4 linked regions of the Saccharomyces cerevisiae S288C genome follow. The gene in region 1 interacts genetically with each later gene. Each region holds a gene or a part of one and is shown in the gene's direction. Other genes may lie near its edges.

The links.
Region 2: mutations in BTS1 (region 1) and ERG8 together harm fitness more than expected from each alone (negative genetic interaction), as found in Saccharomyces cerevisiae (3 studies listed by BioGRID).
Region 3: mutations in BTS1 (region 1) and ERG12 together harm fitness more than expected from each alone (negative genetic interaction), as found in Saccharomyces cerevisiae (3 studies listed by BioGRID).
Region 4: mutations in BTS1 (region 1) and CYB5 together harm fitness less than expected from each alone (positive genetic interaction), as found in Saccharomyces cerevisiae (3 studies listed by BioGRID).

The regions. Positions count from the first base shown.
Region 1 is NC_001148.4:422,311-425,710, reverse strand, and holds BTS1 (farnesyltranstransferase), read left to right. Parts: upstream 1-1,818; coding exon 1,819-2,826; downstream 2,827-3,400. Other genes in the region: HTC1 (Htc1p), read left to right, coding at 1-460; YPL068C (uncharacterized protein), read left to right, coding at 615-1,496; guanine nucleotide exchange factor MUK1, read right to left, coding at 2,925-3,400. UniProt on the Saccharomyces cerevisiae protein: Catalyzes the trans-addition of the 3 molecules of IPP onto DMAPP to form geranylgeranyl pyrophosphate. Required for the membrane attachment of YPT1 and SEC4. May be involved in vesicle trafficking and protein sorting.
Region 2 is NC_001145.3:710,327-714,225, forward strand, and holds ERG8 (phosphomevalonate kinase), read left to right. Parts: upstream 1-1,989; coding exon 1,990-3,345; downstream 3,346-3,899. Other genes in the region: ESC1 (Esc1p), read left to right, coding at 1-1,783; FMP42 (Fmp42p), read right to left, coding at 3,605-3,899.
Region 3 is NC_001145.3:682,690-686,316, forward strand, and holds ERG12 (mevalonate kinase), read left to right. Parts: upstream 1-1,777; coding exon 1,778-3,109; downstream 3,110-3,627. Other genes in the region: acetyl-CoA carboxylase HFA1, read right to left, coding at 1-875; YMR209C (uncharacterized protein), read right to left, coding at 3,222-3,627. UniProt on the Saccharomyces cerevisiae protein: Mevalonate kinase; part of the second module of ergosterol biosynthesis pathway that includes the middle steps of the pathway. ERG12 converts mevalonate into 5-phosphomevalonate.
Region 4 is NC_001146.8:416,366-419,215, reverse strand, and holds CYB5 (Cyb5p), read left to right. Parts: upstream 1-1,913; coding exon 1,914-2,276; downstream 2,277-2,850. Other genes in the region: YNL108C (uncharacterized protein), read left to right, coding at 1-202; rRNA-binding ribosome biosynthesis protein NOP15, read left to right, coding at 728-1,390. UniProt on the Saccharomyces cerevisiae protein: Membrane bound hemoprotein which function as an electron carrier for several membrane bound oxygenases.

The DNA.
Region 1 (3,400 bases):
TAAGAAAAGGACTGCTGGCCTGGACATGAACCAGTACGTTTTGCAAAAACTAGGCTGGTCGCTAGACGAACCGCAGCTCGAAAATGCTGCCGCGAAGGCTTTTAGTTCTTCTACTCTATATGCTGTGCGTGCCAACGATTTCCCGTATAACTTCGAGCCTGGTGTTGTACACCTTGTTCTCTGGTCCAAGGTTGCCCTGCCAGTACATTCCCCAGATAAGGCCGTGCGCGAAGCGGCCCGCGCTCGCATGAATGCATTTTTGCAGGCACAGCCGCTACTGCGTCCACTTCTAAGCTCGGGTCACGTGGCCTGGTTTGTCAACTACCCGGAACTACAAAGTGTTGCCCGGATTTTCCACGCTCACGTGCTGCTTTTCTTCCCACGGGAACGCTATTCCGCGGAACAGGTAAAAACGACCGTTGATGATATCCTTTCACACGGTTTCGAGCCACTTGCCTGATAAAGTTTTTTTTTTTTTTTTCAGCATGCCAAAATGCTACATACATTTGTTAATTATGTACTATAACCGATACTGGTATTAATGATGCGATGAGCTGATGAGACAGTAGATAAATAAAAGACGCTTCTACCTACACAAGCACATACAATATAATATGCATATGCAACTCAGGAAAAGAAAAAGGGTTGACTATTCAGGGAGAAATCAGACGTCCGATCCTCCTTCAACCACAACGGCAGCGGTACCATCCATTATTGTCCCTAAGAAGCGTAAAGTAGTCGCACAAAACATGGTTAGTCCAGCTATTCGAGCCACAACCACAACACTGGGCACCTCAAATATAATAATACCTAAGCCTCTGCAGCGCCCTAAATTCCACAATAGCGCCAGCCTATCTTCACCTGATGATGATCCCGAAAAGATCTCTGTATTGGAAGTTCAGAAAAATTTGTCCAATCTCATCAAAAGACAACAAAGATTATTTTATAAAGATATACATAAGCCGACTCTCGCCGGCTTGAAAAATTTCGAAATGTTAAGGCTGCCCAATGATCTAAAACTCCTACAAAACATCGTAAACCTATTATATTCATTCGAGCAATTAAACAGTGACTCGAAGACAAGACCAGTCACTACTTCCAAATTAAAGGCCTCCTCTCAAGCGCACTCAGACAAATTGAAAAAAATGCTAGCTGAGAGGAAACCTCCATTTAGCCACCCCAGTCACAGCGGCACTGCCTACCACAATGACATCATCCATGAGATAGCGAATTTGCATTCTATTAACCTGGTAGATTTGATTAATTTGGAAGTATATAATAACAATTGCCATACAAACAACACAGCGTTGCAAACTACGGCGAATTCGCTGACACTTAATAGCATTATCAAAAAGCTTGACAAGCCAATACTGAAAGAAAGAAATAATTCTCTGGTATGGCCCCATAAAAGCAGATTTAAAGCAAAAAGGAACCAACCTTCGCCTGGCCAATCTTTAATTAACAATACAGATATAACTCTCTACAACGATGTATAGCCGCCATCTCTACTCACTCCATAATATTACATATAGATATAGGACAAGCCCGCATTTTCATACTGAAAGGTAAACTTCTATTATTATAGTGGTATCCAACGTTCACCGCTTCCAGCATAGCAGAAATTACGTGTTTTTGCATATGTTATGCTGATCATTGTATGCTTACTACCATTTTTCTTTGCTTCGCCTTGCCTTCTTTGACGTTTTTTTGAAGCAAAAAAAAAGTCAAGACAGATGTGCTTACAAAACCATGTAAGGCTCATTTTCAAAGAAGCTACTAATAGAAAGAGAACAAAGCGTTTACGAGTCTGGAAAATCAATGGAGGCCAAGATAGATGAGCTGATCAATAATGATCCTGTTTGGTCCAGCCAAAATGAAAGCTTGATTTCAAAACCTTATAATCACATCCTTTTGAAACCTGGCAAGAACTTTAGACTAAATTTAATAGTTCAAATTAACAGAGTTATGAATTTGCCCAAAGACCAGCTGGCCATAGTTTCGCAAATTGTTGAGCTCTTGCATAATTCCAGCCTTTTAATCGACGATATAGAAGATAATGCTCCCTTGAGAAGGGGACAGACCACTTCTCACTTAATCTTCGGTGTACCCTCCACTATAAACACCGCAAATTATATGTATTTCAGAGCCATGCAACTTGTATCGCAGCTAACCACAAAAGAGCCTTTGTATCATAATTTGATTACGATTTTCAACGAAGAATTGATCAATCTACATAGGGGACAAGGCTTGGATATATACTGGAGAGACTTTCTGCCTGAAATCATACCTACTCAGGAGATGTATTTGAATATGGTTATGAATAAAACAGGCGGCCTTTTCAGATTAACGTTGAGACTCATGGAAGCGCTGTCTCCTTCCTCACACCACGGCCATTCGTTGGTTCCTTTCATAAATCTTCTGGGTATTATTTATCAGATTAGAGATGATTACTTGAATTTGAAAGATTTCCAAATGTCCAGCGAAAAAGGCTTTGCTGAGGACATTACAGAGGGGAAGTTATCTTTTCCCATCGTCCACGCCCTTAACTTCACTAAAACGAAAGGTCAAACTGAGCAACACAATGAAATTCTAAGAATTCTCCTGTTGAGGACAAGTGATAAAGATATAAAACTAAAGCTGATTCAAATACTGGAATTCGACACCAATTCATTGGCCTACACCAAAAATTTTATTAATCAATTAGTGAATATGATAAAAAATGATAATGAAAATAAGTATTTACCTGATTTGGCTTCGCATTCCGACACCGCCACCAATTTACATGACGAATTGTTATATATAATAGACCACTTATCCGAATTGTGAAATAAATTGATCAATCAAATTAGTGGAGGAAGATAGTCAGAAATAAAGCCTTCTCTCCTCCTCTTTCGCATCTATACATACGATTTCATATATACGTTTCATTGCATCATCTTTTGATATATCTCAAAAAGATCTCTTAGTTCGCAAATAGTCAAATCTTCAAATTTATAGCCTTTATATTTTTTCCACGATTTCTGAAACTCCTTTTTATCAGCACCGTTAATGCTAGCGGTTACTGTCAAATCGCCGGTAAATTCGCGATTTCCGTGCTCTAAAGATGCTGAAGATCGTGAAGATGATGAAGTTGATCGTGAGCCATCCCTAGACATCTCTGTTGTATCTCTATTGCTCAATTCCATGGATAATTGAGACGAACTTCGTGGTATGTTTAAGTTGTTGCTACTGTGAAGGTTATTATTGCTAGTATTGTTAGGATGTGGTGGAGTATATGACCTAATTTTTCCGATGATATTTTTTAATGATGAATCAAAAACGGTCCTGAAGCCATCATACGAATTCGATCTTGTAACATCTGGCCTTTGGATAGTAGGAGTCACGATGTCACCTAGGTTAC
Region 2 (3,899 bases), on another chromosome or scaffold:
AGTGCTCTTTGAAAGAAGAGCAACTACCATTGAAAACACAAAAGCCCTGGAAAATAATACCAATATGCATGATCAGGTTAGCCAAGCTTGCTCTGATTCAGACCGAGACCAAGACTCCACAGCTGAAAAAAATGTTGAGGGATCTGCAAAACATAATTTGGACATTCGGGTGTCCAGTTCGGAAATTGAGTCTGTGGAACCATTGAAGCCAGAATCTGATCGATCAAATATTTTTTCATCCCCAATTCGTGTTATTGGAGCTGTAGTTAAGGGAGTGGGTAAGGTAGTCGACGTAGCTGAATCATTCGTGAAAAAAATTGATGTTATGGATTCTGAGAGTGATGATAACGTTGATATTGGTGATTATAATCAAGACATTTTTAACAAGTCGAATTCTACCGATGCATCTGTTAATATGAAAAGTGTAAGTAGCAAAGAGAGAGACAGCGATGAAGATGAAGCTGTCATACTCGGAGGAGTTACCGCAGAAGCACATAATGACAATGGTAATAATTCTCGTGTGATAAACATCGATCCCACGACAAACGGTGCTTATGAAGAGGACTCCGAAGTGTTTCGACAGCAAGTAAAGGACAAGGAAAATTTGCATAAGTCGGAAGAGCCGCTAGTTGAAGGTTTACAATCCGAGCAACATTTCGAAAAGAAAGACCACAGCGAGAATGAAGAAGAATTTGATACCATATATGGAGATATAACATCAGCAAATATTCACAGTAATGCCCCCGATGATATTAAGAGACAACAACTCCTAAAGAATCTAAGTGACCTAGAGAATTATTCTCAGAGGCTCATTGAAGATTCCAGGAGAGGAAAAAATCAAGAAGAATCAGACGAAGTTAATACAAGCCGTGAACGGGATCTCACGTTTGAAAAGTCCGTTAATGAGAAATATGCTGGAGCAATTGAAGAAGACACTTTTTCGGAGTTAGATATTAGCATTCAACACCCCGAACATGAAGAAGACCTGGACCTATCAAACAATCAGGAGAGGTCAATAGAAGAACTAAATTCAGAGCCAGAAGAAGCTGAGTTGTACGAATTGGAAATAGAGGGCCCTACAGAGACAGCAGCTTCTAGTAAAATGAATGATGATGAAAGGCAACGCGGAAATATACCGTCCACAGATCTTCCATCTGATCCTCCGTCTGATAAGGAAGAAGTGACAGATTCTTATCCCTATTCAAATTCGGAAAATATTACCGCTGAAAAGAGTGCGCCAACATCACCGGAAGTGTATGAAATATTCTCAGACACGCCAAATGAAGTCCCTATGGAAATTAATGATGAAATTCCCGCCACCACGCTTGAGAAACACGATAAAACCAATGTAACATCCGTTTTGGATGATAGATCAGAACATTTATCTAGCCACGATGTTGATAATGAGCCACACGATAATTCCATTAACATCAAAGTAAATGAAGGTGAGGAGCCCGAACATCAAGCAGTGGATATACCTGTTAAAGTAGAAGTTAAAGAAGAACAGGAGGAAATGCCTTCAAAATCTGTACTTGAAGAACAGAAACCAAGTATGGAACTAATCAATGATAAAAGTTCTCCAGAAAATAATAATGATGAGGAAACAAACCGCGAAAAGGACAAAACTAAAGCAAAAAAGAAAAGCCGTAAAAGAAACTACAACAGCAGAAGACGGAAAAGAAAAATCACAGAAGGCAGTTCTGCCGCATCAAATACTAAAAGGCGTAGGGGGCACGAGCCAAAAAGCCGTGGACAGAATACGCATCCAAGTGTTGACAAATAATCAAATTGTATACAGGAATATGTAGATAGTAATAATTATTGCGATGCGTTTTTCTATACGAGATCTAAAAGGAAAAAAGTTCGGTTTTAAGGCGGAGTTAACGTCATGTCGAATGGAAAGAAAGATTATATAAAGAATGGAAAAACAAAAAAGGTGAAAAAACATCTTGGAAGGCCTCATAATAAATCAATCGGCTGCCTCGAGAAATGTCAGAGTTGAGAGCCTTCAGTGCCCCAGGGAAAGCGTTACTAGCTGGTGGATATTTAGTTTTAGATACAAAATATGAAGCATTTGTAGTCGGATTATCGGCAAGAATGCATGCTGTAGCCCATCCTTACGGTTCATTGCAAGGGTCTGATAAGTTTGAAGTGCGTGTGAAAAGTAAACAATTTAAAGATGGGGAGTGGCTGTACCATATAAGTCCTAAAAGTGGCTTCATTCCTGTTTCGATAGGCGGATCTAAGAACCCTTTCATTGAAAAAGTTATCGCTAACGTATTTAGCTACTTTAAACCTAACATGGACGACTACTGCAATAGAAACTTGTTCGTTATTGATATTTTCTCTGATGATGCCTACCATTCTCAGGAGGATAGCGTTACCGAACATCGTGGCAACAGAAGATTGAGTTTTCATTCGCACAGAATTGAAGAAGTTCCCAAAACAGGGCTGGGCTCCTCGGCAGGTTTAGTCACAGTTTTAACTACAGCTTTGGCCTCCTTTTTTGTATCGGACCTGGAAAATAATGTAGACAAATATAGAGAAGTTATTCATAATTTAGCACAAGTTGCTCATTGTCAAGCTCAGGGTAAAATTGGAAGCGGGTTTGATGTAGCGGCGGCAGCATATGGATCTATCAGATATAGAAGATTCCCACCCGCATTAATCTCTAATTTGCCAGATATTGGAAGTGCTACTTACGGCAGTAAACTGGCGCATTTGGTTGATGAAGAAGACTGGAATATTACGATTAAAAGTAACCATTTACCTTCGGGATTAACTTTATGGATGGGCGATATTAAGAATGGTTCAGAAACAGTAAAACTGGTCCAGAAGGTAAAAAATTGGTATGATTCGCATATGCCAGAAAGCTTGAAAATATATACAGAACTCGATCATGCAAATTCTAGATTTATGGATGGACTATCTAAACTAGATCGCTTACACGAGACTCATGACGATTACAGCGATCAGATATTTGAGTCTCTTGAGAGGAATGACTGTACCTGTCAAAAGTATCCTGAAATCACAGAAGTTAGAGATGCAGTTGCCACAATTAGACGTTCCTTTAGAAAAATAACTAAAGAATCTGGTGCCGATATCGAACCTCCCGTACAAACTAGCTTATTGGATGATTGCCAGACCTTAAAAGGAGTTCTTACTTGCTTAATACCTGGTGCTGGTGGTTATGACGCCATTGCAGTGATTACTAAGCAAGATGTTGATCTTAGGGCTCAAACCGCTAATGACAAAAGATTTTCTAAGGTTCAATGGCTGGATGTAACTCAGGCTGACTGGGGTGTTAGGAAAGAAAAAGATCCGGAAACTTATCTTGATAAATAACTTAAGGTAGATAATAGTGGTCCATGTGACATCTTTATAAATGTGAAGTTTGAAGTGACAGCGCTTAACATCTAACCATTCATCTTCCGATAGTACTTGAAATTGTTCCTTTCGGCGGCATGATAAAATTCTTTTAATGGGTACAAGCTATACATACTAGGATGAGGATGGTACTGAGAACGATAAATAAACTTTCTAGATATATAACTTTATGTCATTTAAATATAAATAAAGTGCGTGTTAGCTTGAAAGTGTGCACTCAGATAGTTTGGTAGTTGGAGGACAATCCTCTTTCATTCACGGGCTTGGGCAAAATCTGAGATCGTATGTAAAATGTTAAAGTTAGTGAAAAAACGACTGTGAGGATTACCAGTGTAAGGTTTATTGGGAATGGATTCATGTTGAAAGTAGTATGTGTCCATTTGTCCAGTAAGTTTTGACTCATGTTGAAAATACCACAAATGCAGGACAATAACCCATAAACAGTACCAAATGTGTCAAATCCAAAAACTTTTGAAGAATAATCAGAAACAACTGTGTAATAAAATGGTCTG
Region 3 (3,627 bases), on another chromosome or scaffold:
TATTCGACAGTGCCCGCAGAAACATAACCTACCAATTCACCTAGACGAATTGCTGCGCGTTCCATCCTTTGAAACGTTTCAGGCTTGGTTATTGTCACTGGTGCCTCTTCTATAATCTTTTGGTGCCGCCTTTGTATGGAACAGTCTCTCCCAAACAATGTAATGTTAGTGCCATATTGGTCAGCTAATAACTGTACCTCTAAGTGACGAGCATCAGTGACAACTTTCATAACAAACATAGGCGACCCAGGTGTCTCATTCACTGCTTGGCGATATAATGCAATAAAATCATCCTCATTATCTACTCGCCTAATGCCCTTACCTCCACCACCTTCGGATGCCTTAATCATTACAGGAAATCCTATTAATTTAGCCTTTTCTAAAGCATCTTCAGGTGAGGAACAACATCCCCTTACATATACATCATCCGGCACAGATACAAAGTTCGTCTTGTTATCGATATGGATAGTGTCTATATGTGAACCAGACCAAGGGATACACGGGATTTTAGCGCTTTGTGCTACAATAGTGGAAGAAATCTTGTCACCCAATGATCTCATAGCGCGTCCAGGAGGACCAATGAATAGTATTTTCCTTTGTGAACTAGCTAACAGCTCAGGAAGACACGGATTTTCAGAAGCATGGCCCCATCCAGCCCAGACCGCATCCACATCCGTTTGCTCTGCCACGTCCAGTATTAAGTCTATGTTGGCGTAATTGTTGTTGTTGGTACCCCCTGGTACCTGCACATATTGGTCTGCCATTCTAATATACTCCGAATTTGCGTGTAAATCATCAGGTGTCGCCATTACCACGAATTGAATGATTTTTTCATCATTGAACGTCTCGTACGCCCATTTTCTTATAGATCTCATTTCTTTCACCGCAGCAATACCATTGTTTGCTATTAAGATCTTTGAAATAACAGTATGTCCACCACGTAAATCAACAAAATCTCTTAATATTGAAGGTTGGGCACTTTCCACAGTATTTAGCCCTATGAACTGGGGCGGTAATCGAGTATGTTTATGAATATTGCCTCGATCCACATAATTGGAATACCTTCTTCTAGATGGAAAATTCAAACCTATTCGAGATGAATGCCTATACGAATGGGCAAAAATGCGTTTTCTGTATTCAGGGCGCTGTCCTTTCAACCGTACTATCTGGCTGCCCGTTATATTATAGAATCGATAAGGATCCAAATATAACGCGAGCTTGTACTGTCCTATTCGAATGCAAGTAATTGTGAATATGGTAATGTAAAAGTGAGAATGTATCCGGCGAGCCCCCCAGCTTTGGCCGTGTGTAATTGTCTTCCCTTTCTACCCAAGATGACTTCTTCTTTATCATTCTTCATTATTCATCTTTTCTTGTCATCTGCCGCCCACCCATTTTAGTTACCCTAACGGAAACATTGATGAATGATGCTATTATTACTGTCATAAGCAATAAAAAGAGAGGTTCCTACTACTTCTCCCGTGGAAAGCTAGCGATAGCCTTGTACTCTATCTCACTTTCAGAATGCGTACACATTTATGTTTAAAGAGGCGTTTTGTGCTAGTTTTGTCTCAACGTGTATTTTATCGGTTGTAATTGTACTGACAATTTTCGGGCCTCGTTTGGCTGTCGCACTGAAATCTTCGACAGGGTATCGAAGAACGATACAACGATATGCCTATAAAGGTTAGTTAGCCATGATATTACTTCCTGGTTAGCTGGTGCGCTTCTTAGTCCTAACTTGCAAATTTATATCTACGTATAGAAAACTGTCAATATGTCATTACCGTTCTTAACTTCTGCACCGGGAAAGGTTATTATTTTTGGTGAACACTCTGCTGTGTACAACAAGCCTGCCGTCGCTGCTAGTGTGTCTGCGTTGAGAACCTACCTGCTAATAAGCGAGTCATCTGCACCAGATACTATTGAATTGGACTTCCCGGACATTAGCTTTAATCATAAGTGGTCCATCAATGATTTCAATGCCATCACCGAGGATCAAGTAAACTCCCAAAAATTGGCCAAGGCTCAACAAGCCACCGATGGCTTGTCTCAGGAACTCGTTAGTCTTTTGGATCCGTTGTTAGCTCAACTATCCGAATCCTTCCACTACCATGCAGCGTTTTGTTTCCTGTATATGTTTGTTTGCCTATGCCCCCATGCCAAGAATATTAAGTTTTCTTTAAAGTCTACTTTACCCATCGGTGCTGGGTTGGGCTCAAGCGCCTCTATTTCTGTATCACTGGCCTTAGCTATGGCCTACTTGGGGGGGTTAATAGGATCTAATGACTTGGAAAAGCTGTCAGAAAACGATAAGCATATAGTGAATCAATGGGCCTTCATAGGTGAAAAGTGTATTCACGGTACCCCTTCAGGAATAGATAACGCTGTGGCCACTTATGGTAATGCCCTGCTATTTGAAAAAGACTCACATAATGGAACAATAAACACAAACAATTTTAAGTTCTTAGATGATTTCCCAGCCATTCCAATGATCCTAACCTATACTAGAATTCCAAGGTCTACAAAAGATCTTGTTGCTCGCGTTCGTGTGTTGGTCACCGAGAAATTTCCTGAAGTTATGAAGCCAATTCTAGATGCCATGGGTGAATGTGCCCTACAAGGCTTAGAGATCATGACTAAGTTAAGTAAATGTAAAGGCACCGATGACGAGGCTGTAGAAACTAATAATGAACTGTATGAACAACTATTGGAATTGATAAGAATAAATCATGGACTGCTTGTCTCAATCGGTGTTTCTCATCCTGGATTAGAACTTATTAAAAATCTGAGCGATGATTTGAGAATTGGCTCCACAAAACTTACCGGTGCTGGTGGCGGCGGTTGCTCTTTGACTTTGTTACGAAGAGACATTACTCAAGAGCAAATTGACAGCTTCAAAAAGAAATTGCAAGATGATTTTAGTTACGAGACATTTGAAACAGACTTGGGTGGGACTGGCTGCTGTTTGTTAAGCGCAAAAAATTTGAATAAAGATCTTAAAATCAAATCCCTAGTATTCCAATTATTTGAAAATAAAACTACCACAAAGCAACAAATTGACGATCTATTATTGCCAGGAAACACGAATTTACCATGGACTTCATAAGCTAATTTGCGATAGGCATTATTTATTAGTTGTTTTTAATCTTAACTGTGTATGAAGTTTTATGTAATAAAGATAGAAAGAGAAACAAAAAAAAATTTTTCGTAGTATCAATTCAGCTTTCGAAGACAGAATGAAATTTAAGCAGACCATAGTATCCTTGATACATTGACTCATAATCAGTTAAATAGCCATTCAATCCCTTTGAGCTATCAACTTCATATTCCTCCACAAGGTCCTTCCACCCGCGAATTTTACGCAGCCGACTTAATTCATCTCCTGTAAATTGGACCAAGGGTTTGGTGCCATACTTTAATGGACCTACATTGACCCAATGCAGCTCTTTACAGTATTTCTTTAGTGCTTCAATACTGGATAGATATTCAAACATATTTTCCGCGGTATCTATGAAATATGCGCTACAAATGATAATTTTATCATAGTCTTTGGAAATGGGAGAATATCGTGTGAAGTCCCCCCATAGTGGGTCCAGATTACTGCGGTGGCCAACTTTGCTCAAA
Region 4 (2,850 bases), on another chromosome or scaffold:
TAAATTTGAGCTGGTGAAAGGAGAAAATGAAAGTATACCATTTGAAGAGAGAGAGTGGAAACTTACAATGAATGGCAACACCTCCTTTTTAACTAATGGGGAAGAAATGAATTGGACGTTTATGAATGCCTTTGAGGCTGGTTCAGACGCTGATATCAAAGCGAGAAGAGCAGCTGAGAGCGGAAAACTAAAAATGGAGTGAAAACTAAAGTGAGTCTTGAATTCTGTACTTCTCATTATACACTTCTGCATTTGATTTTTATTTCATGATGAAGCTGTGTGAATATATATATATATATACATATGTCAAAGTCTAGTGTAAATTGATAGAATTAACAGTATCTTTTAATATCCCTAAACTTCAAAATTCAAGGTTCAACGATTGAAAGATGAGCTGTCTAGGTAGTAGTACCGAAACCTTTCGAGTTTTGTGCTATCTCTGAAAACTCATTATCCTGCTAAACCCTTTCTAATGTGCATAGCAGCTATTGCAACTTTAGCATCCTCATTACAGACGGCATAGCAGAGACGTATGCGGTTACCCCCCAGATTTTGCCTGTTTCTTTTCACTATGAAAAATTTTCCGCCATAAGAAAAAATGAAGTAGTGCATCGCATCTCATCTCATCACTTAATTTGAAGACGATTACCATTACTTTTAACTTCATTAACTACCTTTTCTATAGGGTTAAGTTCTAGAGATAAAATAACAGAGGAAAGAGATCGATATGGTAAAGTCAACAAGCAAAACTTCCACCAAGGAAACAGTAACCAAACAACCCACCGAAGAAAAACCTATACAGGAGAAAGAAGAGTTGGCTCTAGAAACATCGTCTAGCAGTTCAGATGAAGAAGACGAAAAAGATGAAGATGAAATTGAAGGTTTAGCCGCTTCTGATGATGAGCAGAGCGGTACACACAAGATTAAAAGATTGAATCCTAAGAAGCAGGCTAATGAAAAAAAGTCGAAAGATAAAAAGACACTTGAAGAGTATTCTGGGATTATTTATGTGAGTAGACTGCCACATGGGTTCCACGAAAAGGAATTAAGTAAATATTTTGCTCAATTCGGTGATTTAAAAGAAGTGAGATTAGCACGTAATAAGAAAACTGGAAATTCCAGACATTATGGCTTCTTAGAATTCGTTAATAAAGAGGATGCAATGATCGCCCAAGAATCTATGAACAATTACTTGTTGATGGGTCATCTACTACAAGTGCGTGTATTACCAAAAGGAGCTAAAATCGAGAAATTGTACAAATACAAGAAGAGAGTTCTAGTAGAGAAAGGTATCACCAAACCAGTAAAACAGCTAAAGGATAACATGAAGCAAAAACATGAAGAAAGGATAAAAAAATTAGCCAAGTCAGGTATCGAATTCAAATGGTGACTTGTCACTTCTCATCCACCCTGAGAAAAGGGTTTTGTAAGATAGAATAGGAGATATAGCAAACTTGGGAAACCATTTATATCATTAATTCCAGCAATATAGTTCCGTTTGTCCGTATTCAATGATATTTACATGATTGCTTTTACGAAGATTCAACGACCAAAATCACGGAGCGGGTAATAGCCTGGAGTTTCCGGATGAAAAATTTAACGGCCCAGAAAAAGAACAATAGCTGCAAAAAAGAAAGCTATACGAGATCGAGATAGTGAGAGAGGTTAGCATAACGAGAAAATTTTTGTCGCATTCGTGGCCAAAAAGCGATATTTGAGAAGCATTGTTATTATATCAATAAATAACAAATATATATATTGTCCTTTTTCCAATAACTATATAAAGAACAAGAAGCTTTTGAAACTTTCTCAAAAATTTTCGTTCAGGCTTCCTCGTTAATATTTAAATTCGATTTTCATTTTCTTCATAGTAAAGAAAATCAATCAACTACAACATAAAATATCAAACAATCATGCCTAAAGTTTACAGTTACCAAGAAGTTGCCGAACACAATGGCCCAGAAAATTTCTGGATTATCATCGATGACAAAGTTTACGATGTTTCTCAATTCAAAGATGAACATCCAGGTGGTGATGAAATTATAATGGATTTGGGTGGACAAGATGCTACAGAAAGCTTTGTCGATATCGGTCATTCTGACGAAGCATTGAGACTACTGAAAGGTTTATACATTGGTGACGTTGACAAGACCAGTGAGCGCGTTTCTGTGGAAAAGGTATCTACCTCTGAAAACCAAAGTAAAGGTAGTGGTACATTGGTTGTCATATTGGCCATTTTAATGCTAGGTGTTGCTTATTATTTGTTGAACGAATAATTTTTCTTCCAGAATAGCCCACACTCTTCTCCAAACTCAATTGAATTTTTCGTTTCAGTTTATTAAATTATTTATTTACAAGCAATCAAGGCCAAATTAATGTCTTACAACATTAACTTATGCTACTATATCGCATAGAAGTATGTCACTGTATCATAGAATCTGCCTGGCAGATAGAATTATTATAAATTAATATGTATATACTTATCTTTGTGTATGGCTAAAAATCATCGTCTTAGATAAAAAAAAAAAAGGCAAATAAAGCTCTGCTCTTACTTCAATACGATCAACCTGGTTGTCGTGCATTTCGCTCATTCTAAAATGACCCATAAGCGCTAGTGCACGACTTCTTTGTAAGTCTACTGTTTTTTTGAAAATCATTCGTTTAACATCGGCCCCAGGGTTGTACGAGAACAAAGAAAAGTGTCTGTCCTATTATTTTACGGCACACTAAGCGTTATGCGAAATAACTTCAATCCAGTTGCCACCGTTCACCCAAAAACTTAGGAGTATTAAAGAAAAAGTGTGACGAAGAGCTTTAAAATATTAAAAATGTAGTATACAGCAAATAAAA